Linked DNA regions of Pelodiscus sinensis. The protein of the gene in region 3 purifies or fractionates together with the protein of the main gene of each other region. This does not show direct contact. Links are inferred from orthologs where the notes say so. Each region holds a gene or a part of one and is shown on either strand. Other genes may lie near its edges.

Region 1 (6,821 bases), on a different chromosome or scaffold from region 3:
AGGCTTTTAAGGCATGTTCCCAGCTATGTGCAGCATGGAAGCCACTGGCACAGAGGTTTATTTCAGTGCTCCTCATTTACAAAGTCTCCATGTTAACAGCAACTCTTTGAGCTTCTCTGACAGCTCTAAGTCTGGTTGCTCAAACTCTGCAACCACACTTGGGTGGCTTTTTTAGGCCATTTCTGTATGTCAATATTAGTTTCCTTGACAGAAGTTTCACTGTAGTCATACCTTAAGTCTTAGCAATGAAGCCAAGTTTAAAAAGTGAATGTAAGGAACGTGGGTGTATATCACCTAAATATTCTTGTTTTAGATGCTGTAAAGTAATCAGATTCTTAGATGTTAGAAGTGCCTCATCCCACCCTGTTTTCTGTGCAGTAAGAGATCCTAACATCTAATCTGTTTATAGGATTTTTTTTAAGTTACTAGGGAGCTATGCCCCCTGTGCTTGCCAATCCCCCTGTTGTGGGGGGTAGGCAACCCCGGCTTTCCTCCTGGCCATCTCCTCCACCAGCCAAGGCCTCTTCTCCCTCCCTCTCTGCTGTGACCCAACAGTAACTAATAGGCAGCAGCACACACTAGACCCAGCTCCAACCATGGTGTGCGCCAGGCCTGGCTCCCAGGCCCAGTTTTCCCCCCTTGCGTGCCAGAAGGGCCAGGACCTGAGCTGCGCTGGCCCAGTTTTCCCAACTGGAATGTTCTGCTGGGAGGGATCAGGCCCGAGCCATGCCAGGCCCTGCTTTCCTCCAGCCACTGAGAAGGGGAGGGAAAGGCTGGGACAGTAGGCAGCCCAGGCCTCCACATGGGCTTTCAGAAGGGCCAGGCTGAGGGGAGGTGGGGCATATTCTTGTGGGACACAGAGTGATGTGATGATGTCACTCATCCCACAAGGAAAAAAAAACTTTATAGGTACAGTAAGATAATTTACACCCATACTAAAATTTCTCTGTTTTCTTCTGGGAAGTTTTCTCTGTAGTTTATTTGGGAAATAATGTTGGTTAGGTACAAAAAGTAAGAATAGGGATGTTAAAAAGTCATTAGGTAACTGTGTAACCATTAAAAAAAAAATCATAGCATGGTGGCAGCTCCCCAGGAGCCCATGTTTGCCAAGAGCTAGCTTTTAAGCCAACCCGGAGCCACTCTCCCAGGGAGCTGGCTGCTGCCTGATACTATGGGCTCCAATACAGAGCCAGCAGTGTGGTGTGCTAGCCAGCTCCCTGGGAGCTGGCATATAAGGTTATTATAATGGATAAGCTGATGCTTGTCAGTCAACTGTTTGAACAGTTACACTGTTACATCCCTAATTAACTGAAGCTTCCAGGGGTAGCCGAGTTAGTCTGTACAGGATAAACTTAAACAAATACTCTTTAGTCTTTAGGAACTGATACATCAGGCAGAAAGAAAAATCCAAAGTAGTTATTGTCACCTCACAGGAGACTATAACTGTGTGCAATTAACAAATTAAGACTAGGGATGATAACTAACATGCATTTGTGTAAACATGTAACTGCTAATAGCAGTTACACGTTTACAAGTGGGGGGCAGGCAGGAGCCAGTACTTGTGTGGAGCTGGTTTCCCGTGGATACTGGCTCCTGCCTACACCCCAAACTGCAGCCTGACTATCAAAGAAAGCAGTATGGGGATTGGGGCCAGGCGGCTCCATAGGAGCTGTCCCCTCTGAGCACTGTCCCCATGCTGCTGCCTCTGTGGGAGGCAGCAAAGTGCAGGGGGAGGGAGACACTGCATGTTAAAATCCCTAGTTAAGAAGCCAGATTATTATCAGAAGCTGCTCAGACATAGCAGCCAAACATCATCTGAAAGTTGTATTAAATAATAAATGTTCCCCAATAGTAAATTAATTTTAATTTAAATTAGACCAAAACAGATTAAGAACTTTCCTTGTGGCTGACTGGTGGCATAATTATGTATTTAATCTTTACAGCCAAGTTTTCTTCATTTTAAATTTATTACTAAATTTAAAATTTCAGAGCAATCAAAACACTCAAACACATGCTCAATATTATCCACATGATTTTTCCCCATAAAAACAGGAGTTCTCACATTAGTTATGCTACACACTTAAGCATTTGTAGGATTAGAACCAATGTTTGCTAGTTAGAATACAAGGGTGCAAGAGGCCAAATAAAGAACAGAATTTCTAAACAGAAGTATAGTAAAAGATTCCTTGTTTTAAAGAGTAAAAAGCAGCCCCAAAAAACTCCTTTTGAAAACATAAAAGAAAAAGCAAGTCACCTACAAGTACTAACATTTATTTACATTTAAAATGGTAACAGAGACCTATTGAATGCTCTAAGCACGTTAAGGATGTAAAATCCTGTTTAGTTACCATATATAAGCAGTCAAATCCATTTGTTCAAAAGCCAATGCCTCCCCACCACATTTAAAAAAAAATGTAAAAATAGCAAAAACTGGTTTAGGAATATAAGCAAGTAGTTGTAGTTGAGTCACTACTTGACTAATTGCTCCTCCCCCCCTTGCTGCCTCTGTATCAGAAGTAACAAGGGAGGGAGGGGGGAGCCAGAGCCAGTGCTGGGGGGATGGCAGCTTAAAAGCAGGTTCCCCCAGCACCATCTCTGCAGGGGGCAAGGGAGGCAAAGGCACAGTGGGGGAACAGCATGAGCAAATCCAAGACGCTGAGCCTCTGCTTTTTAAATGCAGTAAGAGCCTGGAGACTCTTATTACATTTAAAAAAAAACAGAACTGCAGCGAACCCCCTTAACTATTTGATTAGCTTCTAAACACTATTTAACATCCTTAGACCTGATCATAAGCTGACTATATTGGCAGTTTGCAAACTTTTGGTTCCAGCTCATCAGCGTAAGCCACTGGCACAGAGAAATTTTATTTACCTGGAGTGTCTGCAGGTACGGAGCCTCTCAGCTCCCACTGGTTGCTGTTTGTTGTTCCCAGGCAATGGGAGCTGCAAGAAGCAGCATGGGCCAAGAAACACGCTGGCATAACTTCCTGTCACTCTCATTGACCTGGAACAGTGAACAGTAACAACTGGGAGCTGAGGGACAACGTGCCTGCTGACAATCCAGGTATATAAAACATCCCAGCACACCAATTCCTAGCCTAGCAGGGCAGATTGCTGAAGTTTACTACCCTCCCCCCTGCACAAGTTTTAAAAAAAGGTAAAACAATGACCCATAAGCTGACTCCTGCTCACCACTGCATCATTTTTACCAAAAAACTAGGCTTATGATCAAGTATATACTAGGAATGTGATCAGTTAGTAGACTACACCATAAGCAAAAGCTTATAAGTTAAAGCTATAGACCTGTTCTTCCCCCCCCCCCCCCCCCGTTTTGTTTTTTTGGACCACAGAACCCTTTCAAACTTTGAAAAATTTCAAGGAACCCCTACAGCCAGGAAAAAACATTTGTCAAGAAAAAACAAAAACAAATCCCAAGCACATAGAGCAGGCTTCCAGTATACCACAATTAGTAGTAATAAGATGCTAAATATGGTCATGAGATCTCCATTCATTGTAATTGAACATATTTTAAAAACAAAAAAAAAAAACCACATTAAATGTGTACAAAAAAGAGCTAAAAAATAATGTGAATTATACTGACTGTTTTCAAGGCGAAGAGTGGTTTTTCTTCTTTTCTTGGCCAATTCTTTTTATATGTGGTTTAATACTAGAAAGTTGGATTCGTATATCTGGTGCAGCATTCAGTTGATTTCTGTATTGCGTTTTTATTGCTGCATAGTTCGAGAACCCAGTTTCACACAAGTATGTGCTTGCAAAGGGTAACAACTGACGAATTGCTCGTCTTGATAAAGATGAATATTCTTGATTGACATAAGTCACCCCAAAATGTAATCAGAGAAACATCTTTATATTTTTGTATTAATTGGCCATCTGAAGCAATTTCACTTAGTTTTTCTACACAAGATTATGAAAACCTGACTGGCTTTTCTGTTAAACTTAATGGATTTCTAATCCAATTATTGTCGTCATTTATGGTTGGAAAATAATGATTGTGTATCACTCGCGGAGATGATCTGCAATGTCACTGCTAATATCTTCATCAAGTTTGCATTCATTTTCCTCAAGGAAATCATTCCAGGGTGGCAAACAATCCAAATTATTTTGTCCTACAGAGGAGATCCAAAACTAGCTTCCGAGACAATGACAAAATTTTAATCTTTTGCATTAAAAATATTTACATTCTTTCATTGCAGCAACAGATTTACTTCATGTAGTTTTGTAAAGAGGTCTGCAAGGTACGCAACTCTCGATAACCACAAAAAGTTAGTTAAATGATCAGACAGCTGGAATTTGTGATCAAATATGCGGAGAGCTCATGACGCAACTCAAATAATCTAACCAGCACTTTGCCTTGCGATAGCCACCTGACTTCTGTATGCAGAAGCAGGGCTGTGTGCTGACTAGCCATATCTTCACACATAATTTTGAACAGTCTTGATTGTAATGGTTGAGTTTTTATATAATCATCTGTACTGCTTCGCCCAACACATTTTTAAGAGGGAGAAATATTCTTAACTACCAGAGCATGTCTGTGGAGAATGCAATGACTGCTGGTGCAATTTGGTGCTACATTTTTTATTCGCATTACAGCACCAGCCACTGTTCCTACCATTGCTTTGGCACCATCACTGCGCACATCAATACATTTTTCCCAGCTTATTTCATGTGTTTTCATAAAGTTATCAATACAATTCTCACCAGTCATATTGGTTTGCAAAAATTCACATAAAAGTCAGTCTTCAATGGAACTATCATCATCATCATACTGGACAAATACAAGCAAAACTGCAAGACCTGCAACATCAGTGGACTCGTCTAATTGTAATGCATATGCATCACATAAATGCAGCCGAAAAATAAGCAGCAAGATAGTGAATACGACGCGTGACAGTATTGTTTGATAGTGACACGGCTTCAACTTTTTGACAAGACTCCTGATCCAACATACACATTACAATATCTTTTGCACATGGTGTTTTTTTTAAAATGAGTGATTCCATAATAGTGTGTGCTTCTCCGGCGTGCGATATACGATAGCTAACTTTATAAGATGCCTCTGTTGCATTTTTATTATCAGATTTGGCAATTTTTTAATCAAGGGTACGTCTAGACTACAGGCTTTTGTTGACAGATTCATGTCGACAAAGCAGCTTGCTTTGTTGACAGAACTGGATATAGTCTAGACGCTCTTTGTCGACAGTGAGCGTAGACATAAAGGACGGTGTAGATACAATAATGCCTTCTGTCGACAAGACATTATTCCTCACAGAATAAGGTTTACTGCTGTTGACAAAACTGCCGAGTTCTGTTGACGTTATGTCGACAGAACTCAGCAGTAGTGTAGATGCAGGTATAGTTTTGTCGACAAAAGTCCTCTTTTGTCAACAAAACCCTGTAGTCTAGGCACACCCCAAGAGTTGACTTTTTTTCAAGTGATTCAAGCTTCTACTTAAAAAAAACTAATGTATTTATCTTTGTACTCTGAATGATTTGTTTCAAAATGTCTTTGCAATTTAGCAGGTACTAAACAACTATTAGATCATATTTTGTTGCACAGTACACACTGGGCACCCGGAGCATCTTCATTTCCATTGCTTGTGAATTCAACTGACAAATAGTCCTCACAATACCTGAGTTTATTAGTCGGCTGTAATTTTTCATAATTAAACTTGAACTGCCTCAGTATTTTCCTTGTTGGTTTCAGTAAAAATATGGGAGCTTGAAGTACTCACTTTTCTCTTTAAAGTTCCTTTTTTTAAAATCAAAGATCCATGGGAATTTTGATATTAATTTGTATTCTTAAAGTCACACACAGGAGCCATGTGTCCTCACAGTGTGTGTGAAGGAGCAGAAATCACCATAGTGAGTAAAGGATTTCCGGTGTTCCACTCACTGATAGTATCCCCCCTTCTCCTCCTCCCCCCATCCTTTACCAAGGGACCTAGCAGCAGCTACAGCTGCTTGTCCATCTTCTCCCGGATCAACCCAACATTCCTCCCCCCATCCCCTGCTGCTTTTAGCAAGGCAGCTGCTAGGTCCCTTGGTAAAAGCAGAGCAGCAGCAGGGGATGGGGAGGGTGTCTGAAATCCCAGCTGGGAACCAGAGAAGCCAGCATCTTTGCGCACCAGGCTCCTCTGTCTCTTTAAGGGGGAGGGAGCATTCAGATTCTCACGGAACCCTTACTTTCACTTTACGGAATCCCAAGGTTCCGCGGAGCACCATTTGGGAAACGCTGCTATAGACAACATGCATTCCACCCCCTGCATTAAATTTTTTAGCAGGCTGGCCAGCTATGGCTCTGCATTTAAAGTGTATTAGGACCTAGGCAGGGGGCAGGTAGCTCGCCTCAGTTCCAGCCCATACCAGGTCCAGGAGCTCAGACCCACCACCAGTTTTTAAACTGGCTCCCCTCATGAACCAGCTCCCGTATGGCATCCCATGCTGCTGCCTCTGATACAGAGGCTGCAGCGCAGAGTGGCAGGGGGCTCCTCGGGAGTAAGGCCGGAGTGCACTGGCTGCTGGGCCCGGCCCCAGGGACTATGGAATAGCTGACTAACCAAAAAGAATTCATGGGATTACTCAACTATTCAATTAACCCATTATTTAACATCTCTAGTATATGAGGGATGTGAACAAGTAGTTGACAAGACCAGAATTTCCCCAATTTTTATTTGGCCATAGAACCCTTTTCAGTTTGAAAGTATCAGAGGGGTAGCCGTGTTAGTATGACTCTGCAAAAGCGGTGAGGAGTCCTGTGGCACCTTATAGACTAAGTGAAGTGTTGGAGCATGAGCTTTCGTG
Region 2 (7,675 bases), on a different chromosome or scaffold from region 3:
GAATACGCATGCAGTGTAGACGCTCTAAGTTTTTGCGCAAGAATGGCTGTTCTTGCGCAAAAAGCCTGTAGTGTAGACGTAGCCTTGGGTTCTAGCCTCAGCTTTAGGAAAGGAGGAGTCTAGCAGGTTGGAGCAGGGATGGGAGTAGGAACTCCTGGGTTCCATACACTGCTCTGCCATTGACTCAATCCGCGAGCCTGAGCAAGCCCCCTTCCCTCACCATTTGTAAAATGAATATAGACAGGGGCTCAGAAGGGAAATGTTTAGCCATACCTTCCCGTTGTTGAGCTGGCTGCTGGTGGCTGGGAATAGCTAGGATACGATGAGGGTTGTCCGTAAGAGGTCTGAGAGGTCTGACTGCTGCCATATCCAGTTGTTCCATAAGCTGGAGGTGTTGACTGAGTGCTGTAGCCAGCTGGTAAAAAACCCAATCCATTCTTAAAACATGGCCAGGCTAAACAGACCCAATGAATCCCTTCTATACCTCAAGCTGATTCAGTGCAACTGAAGTATAGAAGAGAGGCACCAGCTTATGTCTCCACAGCTCCTTTGGAAAGGCCGTGTTACTTAGTAAAGAATAAAAGTAACTCAGGAGACAAATTCTAACCTCAGTTCTGCCACATGTCTATAGTTTCAAGGCACTTGGTAAGATGTATCATACTAAACTTCCCTCCCATCGGCCCTAAATTGCAGGCACCTCTGGGGATGATATACAGAAACTAGTTAGATACACAATGCAAACCTTGGGGGAGGATACCAAGTAGGGAAGCAAATTTTACGCAATCCCTAGCCCATATATAGGCTAGAACTAGATGATGCAGATTCACTCTCACCCAAAAATGAAAGGTGATAGGGATTTTGTATTATTCAGAAGGGCTGAAGAGTGTTATTGGGTTTTTAAACACTTGATGCAGTAGGGACTGAATCAGCAATATAGCCACACCAATTAATGGATCCTTTGATGGAATTGGCCATCTGGAGAGAACCGATAGGAAAATACTCTGACGTCACTCAAGTAACTTTTGGATGGTGCTGATGAGACTTGCTGGCAGTGAAAAACAGCTTCACTTTAGCTGGACCAAGAGAGTGACACTTACTGCTTTGATTCTGGCCGTAAGAAGAACTGTAACTGTTCTGTCCATATGCTGAGGTGTCTGCAGACTGGCCGTAACCGCTGTAGCTCTGCTGGCTGTAGGGCTGACTCGTTTGCTGAGAGTATCCCTGTCCTGGTGGTGCTGGGTAAGCCCCATAGCTAAATGAGGATCAGACAGGTTAGATATTCCAGAGGCCAGCAGTGACTCCATAGTTAAGGCTGCAGCAGTTTAGAAACATTTTTTTTCAGAAGTCCCACACACATAAGCAAACTAATTTGAAAATTACCATGACATGGTGACACCATGTATCATGCAATTTGGGTTGAGGGGGATTTGAGGGAATAACCCACATTGTATCAGAAGCCCTGAACACCATTAGCACTGCTCCAGGGAAGCAACGAGTCAATGGATTTAACAGCATGGACTAACAAGTGTGTCAGTTGCATTACAGGGCAATAGGCAGATAAGAGCATTGTGCTAAATAGAGGCAGAGTCCCTGCCCAAAAGAGCTTAGAAATCAAGGGTGTTTAGGAGGAAGTTTCCTTTAGAATCACGTCATTATTTAACTCCCTGCTGTTGTTTTATTTAGATGTTTCTATAAAGCAGAGAATGCTGGCCGCTATTGGGAAACAGGATGCTGGGCTAGATAGGTGCACTGATGTGATCCAGGTCTCTAGGAGCAAGGAGGGATAACAGACTAGATGGGCCCACAGGTCTAATCCAAGGCAGGAATGTGGGCTGGAAGAGCCCACTGATCTAAGGCACTAATAGAAGAGCGATGAAGGAAAGACTCCTGGGATAACCCCCCCCTCCCCCATGTGCCAGCGTTGTCTTCTTTTTGCAGAGCCCAGACGGCCAGCGCCGCGCACGGGCGGGGGAGGGTTACCTCTGGGTGGCCGGCTGGCTGTAATCTGCAAGACACAAAGAGGGAAGCAGTGAGTCAGGTCCCAGACCAAAGCCCAGCTCCCGGGAGAGGACGGGCGGGGGGAGCAAGGGGGGGCACCGTACAGAGGGGAGGGGGAGGCCCAGTGCGCAGGTGTGTGTGTGTGGCTCCCCCCCCCCGCAATGGGGCGGTCACAGGCAGTGCAGGGCATCTACCCCCAGGCTGGGTGGCAGCGTGTGTGCGTGGGGGGGGAGGGAATGGACCACGCTTCACTCAGTGGGCGGGAGAGGCGATGATTGGTCGGGCGCGGAGGCTCCAACCAACCCGCTCTGGCGCCGCCTGCACAGCGCGTGGCAGAGCCCGGATGAAAGACTGCGGCAAAAAAAAAAAATCCGCACGACGCATGCGCCCACACGCGGGTGCAGGGCGGGCGGCCCATTTCTACTGCGCATGCGCCGCCCTCTGCGGCTCGAGGCGGCGGCGGCGTCAGGGGCCACAGCGCGCGTGCGTTCTTCTCTGCCACGCCCTTCCCTCTCCGCGCGCGCCTCGCGCCCCCTCCCTCCCCAGGCGCGCAGGCGCCGTTGGGCTACACGCGCGCAGCGAGGAAAGAGCCGTTTCCTTTCCCCCCCAAAATGGCGGCTAAGGCCTCAGTGTCGCAGGTATTGAAGGGGGGAGGGCGCCCCCCCGCACGAGGCACCGGCCCCCCCGCGCTATGTAGGAATTGCGGCCCCGCGTGCACCGGGCGGCGCTGAGCGCGGGAGCCCGCCCCCGCCACGGGGGGGGCATTCGTCCCCGGGGGGGGGGGCTGCGACCCGCCCCCCCCCCGACGGGTCTACAACCCATGAGCAGCCCCCTCCCGCCAGCCCGTGCCCTGCCGCAGAGCGGCGCCGCCTCACCGTTAGACGCCATTGCTGCTGCCGCCGCTGGAGTGAACGTCCCTCCCCCGCCCGGCAGTATTTATACCCTCCCCTCCCCCGCCCCTTGCTCCTGGACCGTACCAACTCCCTCGGCAGCTGGGGGGGTTGCTTGGCCCCTCCCTTCTCAGAGCCGCTGTTGCCCGCTCCCCCCCCACTCGGGGCGGACCCGCAGCCGGGTGTATTGTCTGTGCAGGGGGGGCGGTGGTTTTTCTCTGTGCACAAGGCCCCTGTTCTGCCCTTCCGGCCACCCCCCCCCGGGAGGGGAATGGTGCAGGCTGCGGGGGTGGGGGCGCGAGGAGGAATGAGGTCATGGGGCTGGGTGGAAGGAACCAAAGTGACTGCGGAAGCGGGGGGGAGGGGAGGATGCGGGGAGAAGGAGTTTGGTTTTCTGCGGGGGGGGAGGGTATTTGTGTGTGTGGCTGGGTGGGAGGGAGGCAGGGAGGGGTTTGTGCTTAGGGCAGTGTGAGTGTGTGTGTGTGTGTGTGTATAGGTGTGCATTTGTGGGAGACCTTTGTGCATCAGTGAGCAGGAGTCTGAGTTGTGGGTCAGTGTGCAGGAGTGTGTGTGCGTGAGAGAAAGATCTTTTGGGGTAAGTGTACAGAGGTGCATGTGTACGAGACTGTGGTGCATCAGTGTGCAGGGGTTTAAGATATTTGTGGGTCTGTGTGCAGACCTGTGTGTGTGTGAGAGAGGGAGAGAGAGAGAGAGAAAGAGAGAAATCTTTGCGGGTAAATGTGCAAGCAACACTTGTTTAGTTTGTCATACCAACAAGAAATCATTGAATTGATAGGAGGTGGGTTTGTCCAGTAGTGTCTCTTTGGGGGAGTGTCTCCTGAGGGCAATGTGGAGTAATGGTAAAAGCCATGGGCCAATACCTAGGGTCTTAGATCTCTGGCCTTTTCGGTGATCATGGGCAAGTCACTTTCCCTTGGCATGCCTCATCTTCCTTACTAGTAAAACTGGAATTAACTCCTTTGCAGAACTCTTAGGCTATGTCTACACTACATGCGTCTTGTGCAAGAAGCCTTTTGCGTAAGAGCTTTTGCACAAAAATTTATTGCGCAAGAGCACGTCCACACCTCAAATCACATTGCAAAAGCACATCACTTTTGCGCTGTGCTTTTGCGCAAGAGAGTGTCCACACTGCATGGGCGCTCTTGCGCAAGAAAGCTCTGATGGCCATTCACAGAATGACCATCAGAGCACCTGTGCTTTTTCCTATAGCAGTTTCTTTCGCAAGAAACCCCTCTGGAGCATCCACACTTGCCTTTTTGTGCAATAGCTGTAGTGCTAAAAGCAGTTATGCTTCAGAAAAGGAGGTTTACTTATGGTGGAAAAAGTCCTCTGTTCTGCCGTTTAACTGCCCATTTAATTGCCCAAGAACTCATTTGAGCTGTGGATGCTCTGCAGGTTTTTGCGCAAAAAGCTTATAGTGTAGACGTAGCCCTAGAAGCAGACCAAGAACACTAGATAAGTGCTAAGGTGTGTGTGTGTGTGTATAGGGGACTGAGACAAGTACATGGGTTTATATAGATGGATAGGTACGTATTTGTGTCTAGATATGTGTGGGGATCCATTTTTTTTCTCCAGTGTCTAAATCACTCTGTGCATTTGTTGATGGTATTTCCAAAAGCTGATTTAATCTGGATTAATCCTGACTGTTGGCATAAACTGAGTTCATGTCTGCAGTCTTGCTCTTGATTCAAGAAGGCGAGCCAGTTAAATTGCTCAATAAAGCTTAGTGAGATCCTTGACTGACCTTTGTTCTCTTGTTGCAAAGTTCACGTCTGAATATTTATAACAGTTCAGCTGTTTACTACACCTTCTTCTCAAACCCTAGAAGAAGTATCCTGGGATGCATTTCATCAGGACCTGGTGACTTGCTGACATCTAACTTTCCTAAGTGATTTTTGACTTGTTCTTTGTGTATCCTATCTTCTAAACTTACCCTCTCTCTGCTTGTATTCACTACGTTAGGCACACCTCCAGACTTCTCGGTGAAGACCGAAACAAAGAAGTCATTGAGCATCTCCGCCATTTCCAAGTTCCCTGTTACTGCTTCTCCCTCCTGACTAAGCAGTGGGCCTACCCTGTCCTTGGTCTTCCTCTTGCTTTTAATGTATTTATAAAAGGTCTTCTTGTTTCCCTTCAGTGGGGACGTTTCTTAGTGAGCCATCCTCCAGTAACAAAGTAGGAAAGAATTCATGGTAATAAAAGTAAGAGTCAGTTTTAATGGTAGAATCAGGCCAGAACAATTCCAAAGGCAGGGTCTGAGATTTTAACCATTTCAGATTATACAATATAGGGATCACCTAGAACTCAGACAGCTGGATTTCAGCGCTGATATTGGGGTGGGATGTTTGAAAGGATGAAAACGGTCTCTAAAAGAATGCACTTTAAATTAGATTGTAAGCTCTTTGGAGCAGGAACGTCACAAAAAGTGATTACTCTGCAAGGGTGGGGAACCGTTTTTGAGTCCAGGGGATGCTGACCCCACAGAAAAATCAGTCGGGGAGCACACACAAGTGAGAAGCAAAATAGAAAAACCAAACCCTCACTGATGTGGCCCCTGACTGAGAAGGAGAAAGACACTCCCCATGTTCCCTTTGTACACCAGATCTGAACTGTACTGAAGTTCAGCCACTGTTAGGGTGAGTAGATTAATAGATTTTAACACCAGAAGAGGCCACAGGTCTGTTCATATTTAATCCTCTCTCAGTGCAGGGCAGTGTGATCAGATTAGATGGTCTTTTGAGGCTTTATCCAGTCCTACCTTGCTGTAATTCCATAAGTGGAATTGACTTCCAAGAGAGTTTCACTCAGATACCTCTGTACTGAACCAAGTAACTTGTGTTTGACTAAAGCATCTTGTCTATTCTTGATCTGAAGCTATCAAAATATAGAGAATCCACCAGCTCTCTTGGGAAGTTAGTTCCAGAGTCTAATTACCCTCATTGTTAAAAGTCAGGGCCTTGTTATTTCTCATTGGAATTTGTCTGTCTCCCAATCACTGGTTCTTGTTATGCTGTTCTTTGCCACAGTGCATCCTTCTCTGGGGTGGAGCCTAGCAGTCAAACCCACATATATCACTACTGTTGGCTGGCTGAGCTAAGAGCAAACCCTTCCTCTTCGGAAAAAAAAATCACAGGATCTTTGCTGGAGCAGACCAAATCTTGGTTAAAAAGCTGGTTGCAGAATTTCTGGGAAATTCAAACTTGATAGCTGTCCCACAAGCCATTCCTATGAGAGACTTAGGTTCTGAATTCTCGTTAGCTACTCTTGTTCCAAGGAGAAACTGAGAGGGAAAGGTTACCCACAGCTGCAAGGAGATCACTCAAGACTTTGACACATTATCCTTTACGTGATTTAGATCCACATACAGTAACTCCAAAGTCCTCCCAAGCAACAGATGGCTTGCAGGGTGGCCGAATCCTTCACATCCCAGTTTAACGAGGCCTAAAATGTAATTCCATTAGCTGCAGGTTCTAGGGTGGAGTCAGATTTCCCCCTATTTCAAGACACATTATATCGAAGCAGCCCTTCCTTCCCTTTTTCAGTCTGCACCCCTGAGCAGGTTTTTAAAGGAAGATGAAAAATCTTTCCCTCAGGTTCCCAGGCCGGATGTCTCAGCAAGGATTGGGAGTTTAGATCAGAAGCTGTTTGGGGTTCGAGTCATCTCTTTGGTGTGTGTTTGTGCAGCCCCTAGCACAAAGGCCCCCAGCTGTGATATTTTGAACCTTGTTTTATTGTGTCATTGTGAATGTGTACTTGTGTTTTATGACTTGAAAAGTGTAAGTAGCAATTCATAGAGGACATAATTAGATGCCAGAGATAGTAATCAAACGCCTATCAACACGATAATATAAAAGCAATACCGTTACTTCTTTTGCCATGCTTAATACATCGTTTGGTGACAGTTTCCTGAGGTTAGTACATTTCACTTATTCTTAAAATTAAAAGGTTTCTATAAGCTTAGAGGAAACACCTTTTTTATTTGCTTATCTATGGCATGAACAAATACATCATCTCTTATATAACAGGGATAAATCACGCATCAGAGTCATGAAATGGGCTAAAAATAAGGTGTTAAAAAGCTGAACAAGTGGAGGGAGGCATGAAACACTCTTTGCTTGTGACGCCATTTAGTGTAGGGCCTGCCCTGCTAGGCCCCATAAGTGGTATGATAAATAAACGTAATGATTCTGTACTTATCACTGGGGTATCCAATTCACAATTGTCACCGTGGGTTTCTTTTTTAAGCAGCATTTCTTTTAAAACCCCTCAGGATCAGGGTCCATTCAGCTGCACAGAATTCGTGTCTGGCGCAGTGTGTTTTCCTCATGACAAAAGAAAACGAACGCACGTTTAAGTCAATGGATGAAAAAATGAGCGTGGGAGGTGAGCAGAAATTGCACTTGGGGAAGAAAAAAAGCCCATGAACAAAATTGAGGCCTGGATTCTTTGTCTTGGGGCCTATCTGCGCTGGGGGCTCTGACTCTGCAGTGGTGACGTGGTATAAGAACCCACACAGAATAGAAAAGGTTGGTCCATGTCTCGGATCGGGATTCAGGAAGAAAAACGATTCCTCTCCCTGGAACCCCCTTATTCTGCAAAATGGTTTCTTCCCCAGTCCAAGGCTTTCCTGTCTGTGTCCCTGAAACCGGTTCAATCCGGCTCAGAGGCCCATGCGCCATTTATGAATGGCCTTGCTGGGCGTTGGCAAGGCAACCGTGGAAAGTAGGTCACTGGCTCAGTGCATGACACAAGTGCAGGTTCACACG
Region 3 (7,340 bases):
GTGCCATCCTCAACCCCCACACCCCCTCGAACTGCCCGTGTACAGCCCAGCCCCACAGAGTGGGGGGGCAGGGCGAGCCCAGGTACAGGGGGGAGGCTGGATCCACCCCCCCCAAATCCCACAGCCGTACTCCGGACGCCACATGTTGAGGGGAGCCCTACCGAACTCCCCCACAGGCTTTGCAAACTGGACCCCATCGCCCCCCACTGGCAGTACTGGGGGGCCCCCAGCCCCACTCGTATCGCCACACTCCTGGGGGCTGTGCCCAGCTGCGGGAGAGAAGTGGGATGCAGGGGGCACGCTCTGACCCCTGCGGGCATGTCAGACCCTGGGGCGCCCCTGCTCCCCAAATCCCTCCCTGAATGCACTACAAAGCAAACCAGGCCTGGGGGCTGCTGCACCCCATAACTCTCCCCCCCCGGCCAAGGACTGAGAGAAGCAGCCTCAGCACCCTGCCCCCCTGCGGGCATGTCAGACCCTGGGGTGCCCCTGCTCCCCAAATCCCTCTCTGCATGCAGCACAAAGCCAGCCAGGCCTGGGGGCTGCTGCACCCCATAACCCTCCCCCCCCCCCAGCCAAGGACTGAGAGGAGCAGCCTCAGCACCCTGCCCCCCTGCGGGCATGTCAGACCCTGGGGCGCCCCTGCTCCCCAAATCCCTCCCTGCGTGCACCACAAAGCCAGCCAGGCCTGGGGGCTGCTGCACCCCATAACCCTCCCCCCCCAGCCAAGGATTGAGAGGAGCAGCCTCAGCACCCTGCCCCCCTGCAGGCATGTCAGACCCTGGGGTGCCCCTGCTCCCCAAATCCCTCCCTGCGTGCACCACAAAGCCAGCCAGGTCTGGGGGCTGCTGCACCCCATAACCCTCCCCCCCCCCCGGCCAAGGACTGAGAGGAGCAGCCTCAGCACCCTGCCCCCCTGCAGGCATGTCAGACCCTGGGGTGCCCCTGCTCCCCAAATCCCTCCCTGCGTGCACCACAAAGCCAGCCAGGCCTGGGGGCTGCTGCACCCCATAACCCTCCCCCCCCCCCCGGCCAAGGATTGAGAGGAGCAGCCTCAGCACCCTGCCCCCCTGCAGGCATGTCAGACCCTGGGGTGCCCCTGCTCCCCAAATCCCTCCCTGCGTGCACCACAAAGCCAGCCAGGCCTGGGGGCTGCTGCACCCCATAACCCTCCCCCCCCCCGGCCAAGGATTGAGAGGAGCAGCCTCAGCACCCTGCCCCCCTGCGGGCATGTCAGACCCTGGGGCGCCCCTGCTCCCCAAATCCCTCCCTGCATGCACCACAAAGCCAGCCAGGCCTGGGGGCTGCTGCACCCCATAACCCTCCCCCCCGGCCAAGGATTGAGGAGCAGCCTCAGCACCCTGCCCCCCTGCAGGCATGTCGGATCCTGGGGTGCCCCTGCTCCCCAAAGCCCTCCCTGCATGCACCACAAAGCCAGCCAGGCCTGGGGGCTGCTGCACCCCATAACCCTCCCCCCCCCCCCCCCGGCCAAGGACTGAGAGGAGCAGCCTCAGCACCCTGCCCCCCTGCGGGCATGTCAGACCCTGGGGCGCCCCTGCTCCCCAAATCCCTCCCTGCGTGCACCACAAAGCAAACCAGGCCTGGGGGCTGCTGCACCCCATAACCCCCCCCCGGCCAAGGATTGAGAAGAGCAGCCTCAGCACCCTGCCCCCCTGCAGGCATGTCGGACCCTGGGGTGCCCCTGCTCCCCAAAGCCCTCCCTGCATGCACCACAAAGCCAGCCAGGTCTGGGGGCTGCTGCACCCCATAACCCTCCCCCCCGCCCCCCGCCCGGCCAAGGACTGAGAGGAGCAGCCTCAGCACCCTGCCCCCCTGCGGGCATGTCAGACCCTGGGGTGCCCCTGCTCCCCAAATCCCTCCCTGCATGCACTACAAAGCCAGCCAGGCCTGGGGGCTGCTGCACCCCATAACACTCCCCCCCCCAGCTAAGGACTGAGAGGAGCAGCCTCAGTACCCTGCCCCCCTGCGGGCATGTCAGACCCTGGGGTGCCCCTGCTCCCCAAATCCCTCCCTGCGTGCACCACAAAGAAACCAGGCCTGGGGGCTGCTGCACCCCATAACCCTCCCCCCCTGCCCAGGACTGAGAGGAGCAGCCTCAGCACCCCGCCCCCCTGCCTAGGTGCAAGGCCAGGAAGAGGCGCCCCCAGGCTGGCCAGGAAGAAACTGGGGTGCTGCCCACAAGCCACAACCACCCGCTTTGCCGGCTGCCGTGGGGCAGGCCCCCAGGTCCTAGGATACAGGCTGCGATGGCGGGGGGGGGGGGGGGGGGGGGGTACTGCTTCCGTGGCCTGCCCCCTGCCAGGGCCCTACTCCCCATACACTGCTACCCAATCCCCTTCACCACCCCCAACCCACCATAGTGCAGGGGCCCTGCCCCCAAACCACTGCAGCACGTCCCACCATGCACGGGGGGTGCACCCCTCCCCCATGTCGGAGGCTCCCCTGTGGGGGGGGCGGCTTGGGCGCCCTATTTTTGTGTGTGTTCGTTTCACGGCCCCACCAATACCCGGCTGGGGGGCGGCGGGGGGGTCCTCCCTCCCGCCCGCGCGGGGTCCCGGGGGCGGGGGCGGCCGGGCGGGGCCGATGTCCGCGGATGGCGGAGCGGCCCGGGGGCTGGAGGGCCGCCGGGCCGGCGCCATCTTGGATTCCTGGCCGGCTAGAGACGCACAATGGGGGAACCCGTCCATCCGGCCCCCCCCGGGGCCCCTTCCGGGCGGATTTTCGGGGCCCGGGGGCGGGAAATGGCGGCCGAGACCGGGCGCGGCGGGGAGGGAATCGCCCGCCCGAGGGGTATCAGGAGCTCCGGGGGGCGGATGGCCCCGCGCGGCGGCGATGCGCGACCGATTCTCGGCGGGGCCGCTCACCTGCTGCAGGGGGGAGGGGCGCCCGAGTCTCCTTCGAGCGGCGGCCGCGGCCAGAACTGAGCGGCGCCTCCACTTCCGGAATGTGGGGGGAGGGGTAGGGGAGCGCGCCTCGGCGAGGACCCCGCGGCCGGATGGGGCTGCCTAACACAGCGCCTGATTGGAAACAAACGAAAAAAAACCCACCCGCACCAAAGGGACCATTGAGGGCGGGGGTTTCTCTGAGGGGGACGGACACGAGCGCACTGGAGTCGGGGCAGAGGGCTCGGCGCGGGGGTGTGTGTCGTTTTTTTTCATCAGGCGATTGACAAGGACACCTCTCCCCCAGCCACCGGCTGGAGCGCGGGAATGCGTTTCCCACGGGGTCCTGCAGGCGGCAGAGGGGCTGGGAGTAGTTTGGTTCAGGCTTCGCTTTGCCTCGCAGGCCTGTGATGACGTCATGGGGCCACGGCTCGAGGCCCCGCCCCTTCTAGCCCCGCCCCGCGATAGCCTACCTCCTTTGGCCACGCCCCCACAGGCCATGACCCCAACACCACATTCTCCCTCTGGTCACGCCCCCACACTCCCACTGGCCACGCCCCCAACACCACATTCTCCCTCTGGCCACGCCCCCACACTCCCACTGGCCACGCCCCCAACACCACATTCTCCCACTGGCCACGCCCCCAACACCACATTCTCCCTCTGGCCACGCCCCCACACTCCCACTGGCCACGCCCCCAACACCACATTCTCCCACTGGCCACGCCCCCAACACCACATTCTCCCTCTGGCCACGCCCCCACACTCCCACTGGCCACGCCCCCAACACCACATTCTCCCTCTGGCCACGCCCCCATACTCCCACTGGCCACGCCCCCAACACCACATTCTCCCTCTGGCCACGCCCCCACACTCCCACTGGCCACGCCCCAACACCACATTCTCCCTCTGGCCACGCCCCCACAGTGCCCTATTCCCCTCCTGCCAGCCCCTGCCACGCCCCCACACTATCACTGGCCACACACCCCACACCACATTCCTCTCTGGCTACGCCCCCACAGTGCCCTATTCCCCTCCTGCCAGCCCCTGCCACGCCCCCACACTATCACTGGCCACACCCCCAACACCACATTCCCCTCTGGCCATGCCCCCACAGTGCCCTATTCCCCTCCTGCCAGCCCCTGCCACGCCCCCACACTATCACCGGCCACACCCCCCACACCACATTCCTCTCTGGCTACGCCCCCACAGTGCCCTATTCCCCTCCTGCCAGCCCCTGCCACGCCCCCACACTATCACCGGCCACACCCCCCACACCACATTCCTCTCTGGCTACGCCCCCACAGTGCCCTATTCCCCTCCTGCCAGCCCCTGCCACGCCCCCACACTATCACTGGCCACACCCCCCACACCACATTCCTCTCTGGCTACGCCCCCACACTATCACTGGCCACACCCCCAACACCACATTCCCCTCTGGCCACGCCCCCACAGTGCCCTATTCCCCTCCTGCCAGCCCCTGCCACGCCCCCACACTATCACTGGCCACACCCCCAACACCACATTCCCCTCTGGCTACGCCCCCACAGTGCCCTATTCCTCAGGCTGCTCTTGGCCCTGCGCTGGAGCTGGCAACAGGAAGGGACAGGACCAGCCGGCAGGGGTCAAGTCTGACAACATAGCCCGTGATCCCTGGCCCCCCAAGGCTCTGGGGCCGGGGGTCGTTCAGCTGCCCAACCACCTAGTGCCCCGGGGCTAGGAAAGCCAGCAGTGCAGTGGGGGCGGGGACTAGCCTCGGGCAGGGGGGCTGAGAGTGAGGGGCAGGGGCCGGTGGCGACGACAGGGCCTGGGTGGTCTCCAGTGAGCAGAAAAGGGGAGGGGTCTCGGGCCCATGGGTAGCAGTTTCAAGACCGGTCCCTCAGCTCTGGCCGACAGTCGAGCGGCATGCAAAATGCACGGATCACCTTTCTCCACGGCCCAGGCGCAGCTGAAGGGACAGGCCCCCGCACCTGCTGAGCACGCCCCGCAGGGACACCCCACATTGGCACTGCTCCACTCCACACTCCAGATCGAAAAAAACACAGATCCATCTGGACCACAGTCCAGAGCCAAAGGCTGGGGCAATACCAGTATGGCCTTAATGGTCATACTGCCTGGGCTACACTGTGGCTTCCCAAAGGCCGGGTCATCTAGCCCTGAATTCTAGAGTCTGTCCGTCCATCTGAGTGTCCATTCAAAAACTCAGAAACAAGAAGACCGCGGACCACCAAATTTGCCAGGCAGCTTCCTCTGGGGGGGGACTTTAATCCCCCTGACATCTGTTGGGAGACCAATACAACTGGACACAGACAATCCAGGAAGTTTTTGGAGAACGTTGGGGATAACTGCTTGGTACGAGTGCTGAAGAAACCGACCAGGGGCCGTGCGCAGCTTGACCTGCTGCTCACAAACTGGGACGAACTACTAGGGGAAGGGGAGGTGGGTGACAACCTGGGAAGCAGTGATCATGAGATGGTAGATTTCAGGATCCTGACCAAAGGAAGAAAGGAGAGTAGTAAAATACACACCCTGGACTTCAGAAATCAAACTTCAACTCCCTCAGAGAACTGAGGGGCAGGATTCCTTGGGATGCTAACATGAAAGGAAAGGAGTCCAGGAGAGCTGGCAGGATTTTAAAGAAGCCTTATTAAAGGCACAGGAAGAAACCATCCCGATGTGCAGTAAGAAAAGCAAATATGGTAGGTGACCAGATCGGAGAGGGGGTTACTGGATGAGGGAGGTGACCTAGTGACAGACGATGTGGGGAAAGCTGAGTCTGCAGAAGAGCAGAGTGAGGGGGGATTTGAAAGCAGCCTGCAACTCCCTGAAGGGAGGTTCCAAAGAGGCTGGCGAGAGGCTGTTCTCAGGGGTGGCAGGAGGCAGAACAAGGAGCAATGGGCTCAAGTTACAGTGGGGGGGTCTAGGTTGGAGATTAAGAAAAACTCTTTCCCTAGGCGGGTGGGGAAGCGCTGCGATGGGTTGCCTGGGAGGGGGGTGGAATCTCCATCCCTAGAGATTTTTAAGTCCCTGCTAGACCAAGCCCTGGCTGGGCTGATTGAGTTGGGCTGGTCCTGCCGTGGGCAGGGGGCTGGACTCGATGACTCCCGAGGTCTCTGCCCGCCCTGGGATTCTAGGATTCTCTTCTCCAAAGCGCAAGCAAGGGCCGGGTTTGCGAGGCCCAGGACAACGGGCCGTGCCGGGAATGGGGCTGTGTTCCAGCACGTGGCAGGGGAGGGGGCTGAGAGAGGAGGGAGGCGATCCTGAGAGTGGCCACTGGGGGGCAGTGAGCGCAGGGGAGAGCTATGGGGAGGGTCATCCCTGAGGGCAGCTGCATCACCGTAGGGGTGGCCAAGCAGGGCCGGGGGCTCGGTGTTCTTGCCTGCCAGCTGGAAAGAGAAGTGTGGCCCCTTCGCAGGAGACAGCCTCTGCCCCCCCCCACCCTGAGAGGAGCCGGGGGGCGGGGAGAGAGCCCCAGATAGCCCCCTTGTCCTGAGCCCTTGCTCATCCCTCCACCCTCATTCTTGCATCACCCTACACCCCCAGACTCCTGCCCTGAGCTCCCCACTCCCCAAGGGCTTGCCCTGGCTCCTGCCCCCCGCCCCCCACTGCCACGTGGCAATAGCAGGTAAGTCTGCTAGGAGGACACAAACCCCACGACCATCAGCGTCCTGACACGAGGCACAGGGATTCACAACGGAGCGGGTGAGCCCAGCTGTGGGCCCAGCGTCTTCGGGGTCACGGCCCCCCCACAGCACAGGAGCAGAGTCGGGGGCTGCCCGGCCAGCCGAGAAACACTCACATCCGTCTCGCAGCGGTTCCCCACCTTCTCAGCATCACGCCTCCGTTTTGATTTTTGAGAGACCCTCACCCCCCCCCCCCCCCCAAAAAAATGCTTGTTGAGCAAAAAAAAGAAAAAGAAAAAAAACCTGGCCAGGCCCAAGCTGTGCGTGTTCTGGCAGACGCCCGAGCCAGGAAGACACGTCCAGTATTTTCTGAATTTTTTTTACTAGAGGGACTAGGCTCTTTGACGGGGTGGGGGGCTGGGTCGCCTTGCGCCCCCCCCCCCCCTTGAATTTCCCCCGTTCGGGAACCTATGATTCTAGTGTGTCGCCCTGTCGAGTCTAGCTTCGCTATGTGGTCAGGCCAGCCGCGGGCGTGGAGCAAACAGCACCAAGAACAGCTCCCTGCTCCGGCGTCCCCGTGAAGATTTTCCAACCGTGAACAGAGGGCGTTTTGACCCGTGCACTAATATTGAGGGCAAGCGCGCGTCCACCAGTTACTAACCAATCTCTGAGAGAGACGTATTTTTAAACCGTTGTGGAAGAAAGAATACAAAGACAAGGGATCGCTAGCAAGCTGCGCGACTTTCAATGTTTAATGTGCCATCAAATACAAAGCCAGTGAACACTGCAGAATGCTCGCTAGCCATTTGGTATC
Region 4 (7,549 bases), on a different chromosome or scaffold from region 3:
TGAGTTGGAGTGCTCGATAACAGGGTGAAATGTAATGCCGTGTCCTACTCACGGGGGTGGCCTTTCTGGCCATAAATGCTATGAATACGGCCCCTTTGCACCACACTGCCCTGGTGAGAAGCGGGTGGACGTGTAATTGAGACCCTTGTGTGGTTCTAGGATGGTGCAGAGGGGTCTCGGTGTAAAGGAGACTCCGCCCCAATCAATGAGTGATGGCACTGGCTGCTTTTGGCATCCTGATGCATGTACCAGCCTGCACCCGCTCTTGTTCCTGTCTTGTGCACTTGCCCCATGAATATACTGTCAGCTCTTGGTGCCACACTGACTCTCTCCTCCCCCGACAGGAATAGCTGCTTTCACACCCAGCAGGCACGCAACCCGGGAAGCTGCTTCTGCCAGCATGTCACCCCGCCAGCCTGTCTCACTCCTGCCCCAGAGGGACCCCCTCCAGGCGGGCGCATGCGAGGAGCTATTCTCCATGGTCCCCTCAGCACCAGGCCAAGGTGCCAATTAGTGCCACACCTTGTTTGTGAGTAATCCACCATGCAAAGGTTTTGTTTTAATGATCCTAGGGTGGCGGGGGGAGGGGGCTGGTTTCCTTTCCCACCCCCACTGCCCAGGACTGGGTGGCATGATCAGCTGTTCAAGTTCCCCTTTGCTGCTTGTATCTAATGCTCTGCACCCCCCACCGAGGTGTCTCACACCACTGAGTCTCCTTTAAAAGCTCAGCCAGCGAGCTTCATGCACCTTAATCCCTTAAGGTGGCCCACAACCCCTGTCACCCTAAACCCTGGGGTGAAAAGGAACTGGATAGGTACAGGACACTAGTAATAACTATGTAATAATGCACCTGCACCTCCTTACTCCGGGTATCCCTAATCCGTGGTACGGAGAAGGAGGCCGATCCCCACCAGCATGCAGCATGCTCCCGAGGCCTGGGAGTAGCAGGAGCACAGATCCACTTGTGCCCCTGGGAGCAGGGCACTGGGTAAGTGCACCAACTCATACCCAGAACCCACCATGTCCTCCCTGTAGGGTTGCCAGATACTTGCACAAAAAATCCAGAACATGGCGGGACAAAAATTGGTTCAACAACAAGAAAGGAAAAAAAAAAAAAAAAAAGGTTGCTGCGCCTTTAAATTCCTGTGCTTCTCGTTCCACCCACCCCTGCCCAGACACAGCAAGGGAAAAATGTCCCCACCAGTCTTCCATCTGAGAAACAGAAAATACAGGTATTTTCTGGGAGGTTTTACAGGACAGAAGACGCAATTACCAGACTGTCCAGGCGAAAACCGGACACCTGGCAACCCTACCTCCCTGGCCCGGCAACATCTTTAATCCGGCAGACCCTGTTTCCCAGGATTGCCAAATTAAAGAAGTTCAAGAATCTACAATATGCTACATTTGCATTGAGGGGGAAGGATGAAATTCAAGAAGGACAAAAGCAAAGTACTACACTTAGCAAGGAATAATCAATTGCTCAAATATCACATGGGAAGTGACTGCCAAGGAAGCGGTACTGCAGACCAGGGTCTCGGGATTATAGCGGATCACAAACTAAATACGAATCAACAATGGAACGCTGCTACCAAAAAAACCCCAAATCCCCAAACACCATTCTGGGATGCATTAGTAGGCATGTTGCAAGCAAGACATGAGAAGTAATTTTTCCCTCTACTCAGCATTCATAAGGCCTTAACTGGAGTCTTGTGCCCAGTTCTGGGCACTACATTTCAGGAAAGATGTGGACAAACAGGAGAAGGTCCAGAGAAGAGCAACAAAACCAATCAGAGAGTGATCAATTGTTCTTTTATCCACTGAGGATAGGACAAGAAGCAATGGACCTAAATCGCAAGCATGAGAGGTTTTGATTGGACATTAGGAAAACCTTCCCGTGGCAGGATAGTTAGGCACTAGAACACATGCCTACTGAGGCTGTGGAGGCTTTTTAGAGCATGTTAGACAAACATCAGCCAGACATGGTTTAAATCAGCAGCGGGCAAAAGCTTTGGATCTGATCCATCACAGTCCTCTGGGCTATCAATGTCCAACAGCCCAGGGAGAGTCTGAGGCAGGCTCCCTGCCGGCCGCGCCCCACCTGTGGCTCAAAGCAGCCAGCTGCTGGGGCCAGCCTGTGCGTCTCTGCACAGCACATGCCACATGGGAGAGGGGGAGAGAGGCTCTGCATGCTGCTCCCGCCCCCAGCACAATCCTTGCAGCTCCCATTGGCTGGAAGCCATGCTTGTGGAGGCAAGCGAGTGACGAAGCCCCTCCCCCCCACCAATGGCATGCCATACAGAGTCATGCATGGTCCTTTCTACACTCAGCCTTCATCCCAGACCTGCATCCCCTGCATAGAAAAATGTGGTTCTCGACCACTTACCAAAATCTTGGGATGCCCCCCCACCCATGAAAAGTTATTGCCCACCCTTGGTCTAGACAGTATTTAGTTCTGCCTCAGTGCAGGGGACTCGACTAGATCACCTACTCGGGTCCTTTCCAGCCCTGTATTGGTTTTCTCTGCTCCTTTGCTAGCTATGGCCCCATCCAGCCTCTCCACTGCTCCTTCCCAGTCGCTGTATTGAGCTGTCTTGAATTCACATCCCAGGCCGAATGTGTCTTTCCTAGACTCACTGGTCTCAGCATTTTACACTCACTTTGCACTGGTGTAAATGGTTATGCCAAGTTCAGAACAATGGAGAATCAGGCCCCATGGGACATCAGGTTCTAAATAGGAATAAATGTAAATTGCAGAATCGGAGACATAAAGAGACCTACTGATCCTAATCTCATGTGCAAGGCAAGCGGGAGTCAGGACTCCTGGGTTCTATTCCCAGCTCTGGGATGGGGGTTCAGCGGTCGTTTGAGCAGGGGCCTGGGTTTTATGCCCAGTTCCACCCAAACTGCCTTGCACAAAACAGCTCCATTTCCAACACCCTCCCTCATACAAAGCATCCCTCCCCCAGCCCTGCTGTGAGCCTACCTGCGATACAGAACTTGTACCACCATCTGGGACCACGGAGCTGGCATGAACTCTTCTACCAACAGCTGATGCTCTGTCTCAGTGCAGACCCCCATGGTCTCGGCAGCTGCTGGGTGTCTGTCTGGCCCCCATCCAACAGAAGCAGGAGGATCTGAGTTCTCTCTGCATGAGAGCAACCAGGACACGATGGGTATCTTCGCACCATCTCGCTGAAAATCTTTGTATCAGCGTCAAGCACCATCGTGGGTCCCAGGAATTGCTGGATGCTCCAAATTGCTGAGCATTTGCTCCTGGGATCTGCCTTCCCCTTTTGCAACAGAGCAGAAAATAGAAGGGAGACAGAAACACTCCGTTAAAAAGCTTGGAAGGCTCCCATACTAATTATGAACAAGAACATAGCGAACAGCAGCGGCTTGTGTTCCAGGATAGACATTGCACTTTTTTACTGTTATTTTTTATTATGAATTATTTCTGTTACAGTAGCACCACAGCACTCCACTTATGGATCAGGATCCCATAGCACAAGATGCTTATGAACACCAAACCAAAAGACTCTCTCCCTACACTACAAACTATCCTGCTAGGTATGATTATCTCCACTTCAGAGATGGGTAAACAAAGGCACAAAGCAGAGTTAGAAGCAGAACAAGGCATAGATCCAAGGAGTCCTGACTCCCCCTTGACTGCTCTAATCAATAGACCATGGTTTCCACACCAGGGCCAAAAATAGAACAAAGAGCCCCCAACCCCTATGCCTCATGTTCTAGCCACTACTTCCCACTGCTCTGGAGTAGGCCGGAAATGATTCGTAGATTCCAAGGCCAGAAGGGACCCAATATAACCATCTGGTCTGACCTCCTGGATAACATAGGCTCCAGAACTTCCCCAAAATAATTTCTAAAGCAAATCTTTTGGGAAAAAACCATCCCATCTCAATTTTTCAACAATGGAGAATCTACCATGACCCTGGATAAATTGTTCCAACGGATCATTGTTCTCACCATTACAAAATTACACCTTATTTCCACTCTGAATTTATCTAGTTTCCACTTCCAGCCATTGGATCGTGTTAGATCTTCCTCTGTTATTAAATATTTGTTCCCCACATAGATACTTGCAGACTGTGAGCAAGTCACCCCTTAACCCCCTCGCTTAGGCTGAGCTTTTTGTGTCTATCACCATGAAGCCTATTTTCTATTCCTTTAATCGTTCTCGTGGCTCTTCTCTGACCCCGCGCCAATTTATCAGCACTCTTCCCGAATTCTGGACACCAGAAGTGGACACAGTATTCCAGCAGTGCTTGCATGAGACAACAGAACCCCAAAGTCACCTTGTGTTGAACCTTAGACCACACTGTTTTATGGTGAATGCACAAAATCCTGAAACGAGGGATGTAAAAGGTTAACCGGTTACCTGGTAAGCATCATCCTAACCAGCATGCTTATTGGGTCAGCTGGTTAGCTGAGTAAATGTAATGTTTAACCGGTTAACTTTTTAAATGTTATTTTACACCCCTACTGAAACTAAAACAAAATCACCTTCCAAATGTCCCATGCTAAAACTTTCGGGAGGGGTTCCCCACTAGTCTGAGCCCTCCCTGCTCCCAACAGCCCCAGTACCGTTGCAGCATGTTCTGGAAACATGGATGAAATGTAGCAAAGTTATCCACGGGTGTGCATGTGTGTGGGGAAAGAGAAGCTGATACAAAGGCACAGGATTTTGTCAGCTGATTGCTCCCCCGTCCTGCAGATCCCAGAGTGGACCCCATGAGCTTTGGACATGCCCAGATGGTACAGCAATGGGTGTCTGTGACAGGCCAATGTCTGGCCCTTTGCCCTTAGCTGGCATCTTTTCCTCCCCCTGTATCCATGAGCAGCCCGAGGTGGGCTGCGGTAGCTGGCGCCCCAGGTGGAACACACGATCGGCGACCCCGCCTGCATGGCCGTCAATGGAGTGACGTCATCATCGGACGCCCGGACGCCCTGTGACATCATCATCGGGCGCCCTGGGCGCCCCATTGAAGGCAGTGCCCTAGGTGATGGCCAGGTTGGCCTATAGTCACAGGCCACCCCTGCCTGTATCTGAGGTTTCGCATGGACACAGCGGAGCCCCAGCATTCTGAAAGGGCCAGTTCACACCCAACCGGTCGGCATTTTTGGGGAGCAGGGAGCTTGTCTGTTTTATGTGTCTGAAAATTTACCGTCATCCTTACGTTGTGATGGAATCACATACAGAAACAGCAAACACTAACTAAAATGATTAATTAAATAATAATGACCCAAATAATTAATAATTGGTTAAAAATAGAAATAATGGCAAATAGGAACATATTTAGCAGCAGCAGCAGCCAGAGATCGGCTCATCTGGTGCAGGGATGTGCATGCTGGGGCAGAATGGCACATCCAAACGGGAGCATAGGGGCAGGGTGGCCGCTGCCCACCCTCAGAGCCTTTGAAGGCCAGAGAGTAGCAGGAATCAGAAGGGATTGGTGTTCCATGTAAGCTGGGCATTTGTGTGGCTACTCAGGAGAGATTCAAATGCTGCCCAGCTGATTAGCAGAGCTCCCACATCTGGGTTTTTTATTATAGTGGTGGTGCACATGGCCTCGGTGCACATAATATTTATACCACACCTGGATGGAAAAAGTCTGCACGTGGCTGAAAAAGATGGAAGGGAACATTGGAAGGAATCAGACATTTATCTGGATAATAAGAACATTTAGATTCATCCCCGGCTGGACTCAACTCAGGGCCTGATTCTACCTTGCCCAGAGTCTTGCACGGTCACTGACATTAGTGCAAAGTGAGTGTGAAATGCACTGGCGTAAATGACTGGGAGATACAAAGAATTAGAGAAGGGTTGAAAATCTTGCTGCGTCAGGGCATAAACCAACCTCTAACTAGGGATGTAAAGGGTTAACTGGTTACTGGGTAAGCATGACCCTTACTGGCATGCTTACCAGGGTAAACAATTAACTGGTGGGGGGCTGCTCCGGCTGAGCCTGGCCTGGCTGGAGCAGCCCATGATTCCGTGGGCTTGCTCAGGCTGCAGAAGCCCTGGCCAGGCTAGAGTAGCCCCTGGCGCACGATCACGGTGAACCCATTAAAACATTAAGTTTAACCAGCTAACTTTTTAACCAGGATTTTACATCCCTTCCTCTAACAGGTGGGGTCAAGAGGAAGCCTCCCCTCAGGCCATGTCACCCCAGAGGCGAAGGGGTTCTTACACCTTCTGCTGCCGAGGTCCAGGATATTGGGCTAGGCAGGCAGACCCCAAGTCTAACAGAATGGTAACTCGTATGTTCTGGGCTCTCCCAGCAGTTAAACCTGTTTTGCTAATTGCCCCACTCCCCACTGACATCCGAGACACATCAGGCCCATTTGCTTTCCATTTCCCCAATGATCAGCAATAAGCTCTGAAATTGGAGAGTCTGCTGCCGCTGTGACTAGCCCATGAAATATATCCATTGTGTTGGCCCCTTGGCCGGTTGTAAATGAGAGAGGGGGGAGCTCTGGGGACACATCCCAGCCCTGCTCCTGATAGAAAGTGGGGCAGGGGAATTTCCCAGGAAGCTGCATGCTGTAACTGCTGGCTTGATCTGCCTGGAACAAAATGCTTTCAAACAATTCTCTCCCTTCGATAAATGGCTTAGACTTTTCAAGCATTAGGTAACTTCCATTGGAATCCTCGTTAATGTAGCTACACATCTATGAGTAGCAGACAGTACCGGTTTGGTCAACTTAATGCTTCCTCTGTACTTACACACACACACACTCTGCATCACAAGCTTTCAAATACACGTACACGAGATACATAATTTGAACGCATGTCTTCTAAAAGGAGGTATGATGTGAAGTTCTCAAGTGATTACCCTAGAAACAAGGGTAAACAATGACCCCACCAAGATGTCCAATAGACCACTTTGAAATAGTCACATTTGTTCCAGTATGTTCAATGACTCTGGATTATTTCAAGACATAAAATTAGATTTCTTTGTGACCTCAGCACCAACTGAAAGAGTAAAACAAAATCTGATTATACATATGGACTGTGTCTAGACCGGCCACTTTTTCCGGAAAAGCAGCCACTTTTCCGGAAAAACTTGCCAGCTGTCTACACTGGCCGCTTGAATTTCCGCAAAAGCACTGACGATCTCATGTAAGATTGTCAGTGTTTCTGCGGAAATACTATGCTGCTTCCGTTCGGGCAAAAGTCTTTTTCTGAAAAACTTTTGCGCAAAAGGGCCAGTGTAGACAGCTGAGATTTGTTTTCTGCAAAAAAGCCCCGATTGCGAAAATGGCGATTGGGGCTTTTTTGCGGAAAAGCGCATCTAGATTGGCCACAGACGCTTTTCCGCAAAAAGTGCTTTTGCGGAAAAGCGTCCTGCCAATCTAGATGTGCTTTTCCGAAAATGCTTTTAACGGAAAAGTTTTCCGTTAAAAGCATTTCCGGAAAATCATGCCAGTCTAGACGTAGCCCCCGAGACGTATCATTGAACTGTAGGAACGCTGGTGACATTGCTACTCAACTTCTTGTTCATCGTTCTACTCTCTGTCGAGAGTGAGC

Evidence for each region.
Region 1: the proteins of DDX39B (region 3) and SPECC1L purify together in Homo sapiens (affinity purification with mass spectrometry, with the first as the bait; 3 studies listed by BioGRID). This does not show direct contact. The link is inferred for Pelodiscus sinensis from reciprocal best matches to the Homo sapiens genes DDX39B and SPECC1L.
Region 2: the proteins of DDX39B (region 3) and FUS purify together in Homo sapiens (affinity purification with mass spectrometry; 3 studies listed by BioGRID and IntAct, with this or other methods). This does not show direct contact. The link is inferred for Pelodiscus sinensis from reciprocal best matches to the Homo sapiens genes DDX39B and FUS.
Region 4: the proteins of DDX39B (region 3) and prelamin-A/C purify together in Homo sapiens (affinity purification with mass spectrometry, with the first as the bait; 4 studies listed by BioGRID). This does not show direct contact. The link is inferred for Pelodiscus sinensis from reciprocal best matches to the Homo sapiens genes DDX39B and LMNA.

What each region holds. Positions count from the first base shown.
Region 1 is NC_134725.1:7,284,286-7,291,106, forward strand, and holds the start of SPECC1L (cytospin-A), read right to left. Parts: upstream 3,004-6,821; 5' UTR 3,000-3,003; coding exon 2,872-2,999; intron 1-2,871. UniProt on the Homo sapiens protein: Involved in cytokinesis and spindle organization. May play a role in actin cytoskeleton organization and microtubule stabilization and hence required for proper cell adhesion and migration.
Region 2 is NC_134714.1:131,652,915-131,660,589, forward strand, and holds the start of FUS (RNA-binding protein FUS), read right to left. Parts: upstream 3,002-7,675; 5' UTR 2,887-3,001; coding exon 2,874-2,886; intron 2,637-2,873; exon of another isoform or gene 2,569-2,636; intron 2,006-2,568; coding exon 1,981-2,005; intron 1,253-1,980; coding exon 1,098-1,252; intron 416-1,097; coding exon 274-415; intron 1-273. UniProt on the Homo sapiens protein: DNA/RNA-binding protein that plays a role in various cellular processes such as transcription regulation, RNA splicing, RNA transport, DNA repair and damage response. Binds to ssRNA containing the consensus sequence 5'-AGGUAA-3'.
Region 3 is NW_027465831.1:175,550-182,889, forward strand, and holds the start of DDX39B (spliceosome RNA helicase DDX39B), read right to left. Parts: upstream 3,020-7,340; 5' UTR 2,886-3,019; intron 1-2,885. UniProt on the Homo sapiens protein: Involved in nuclear export of spliced and unspliced mRNA. Component of the TREX complex which is thought to couple mRNA transcription, processing and nuclear export, and specifically associates with spliced mRNA and not with unspliced pre-mRNA.
Region 4 is NC_134734.1:16,695,253-16,702,801, forward strand, and holds the start of prelamin-A/C, read right to left. Parts: upstream 3,002-7,549; 5' UTR 2,984-3,001; intron 1-2,983.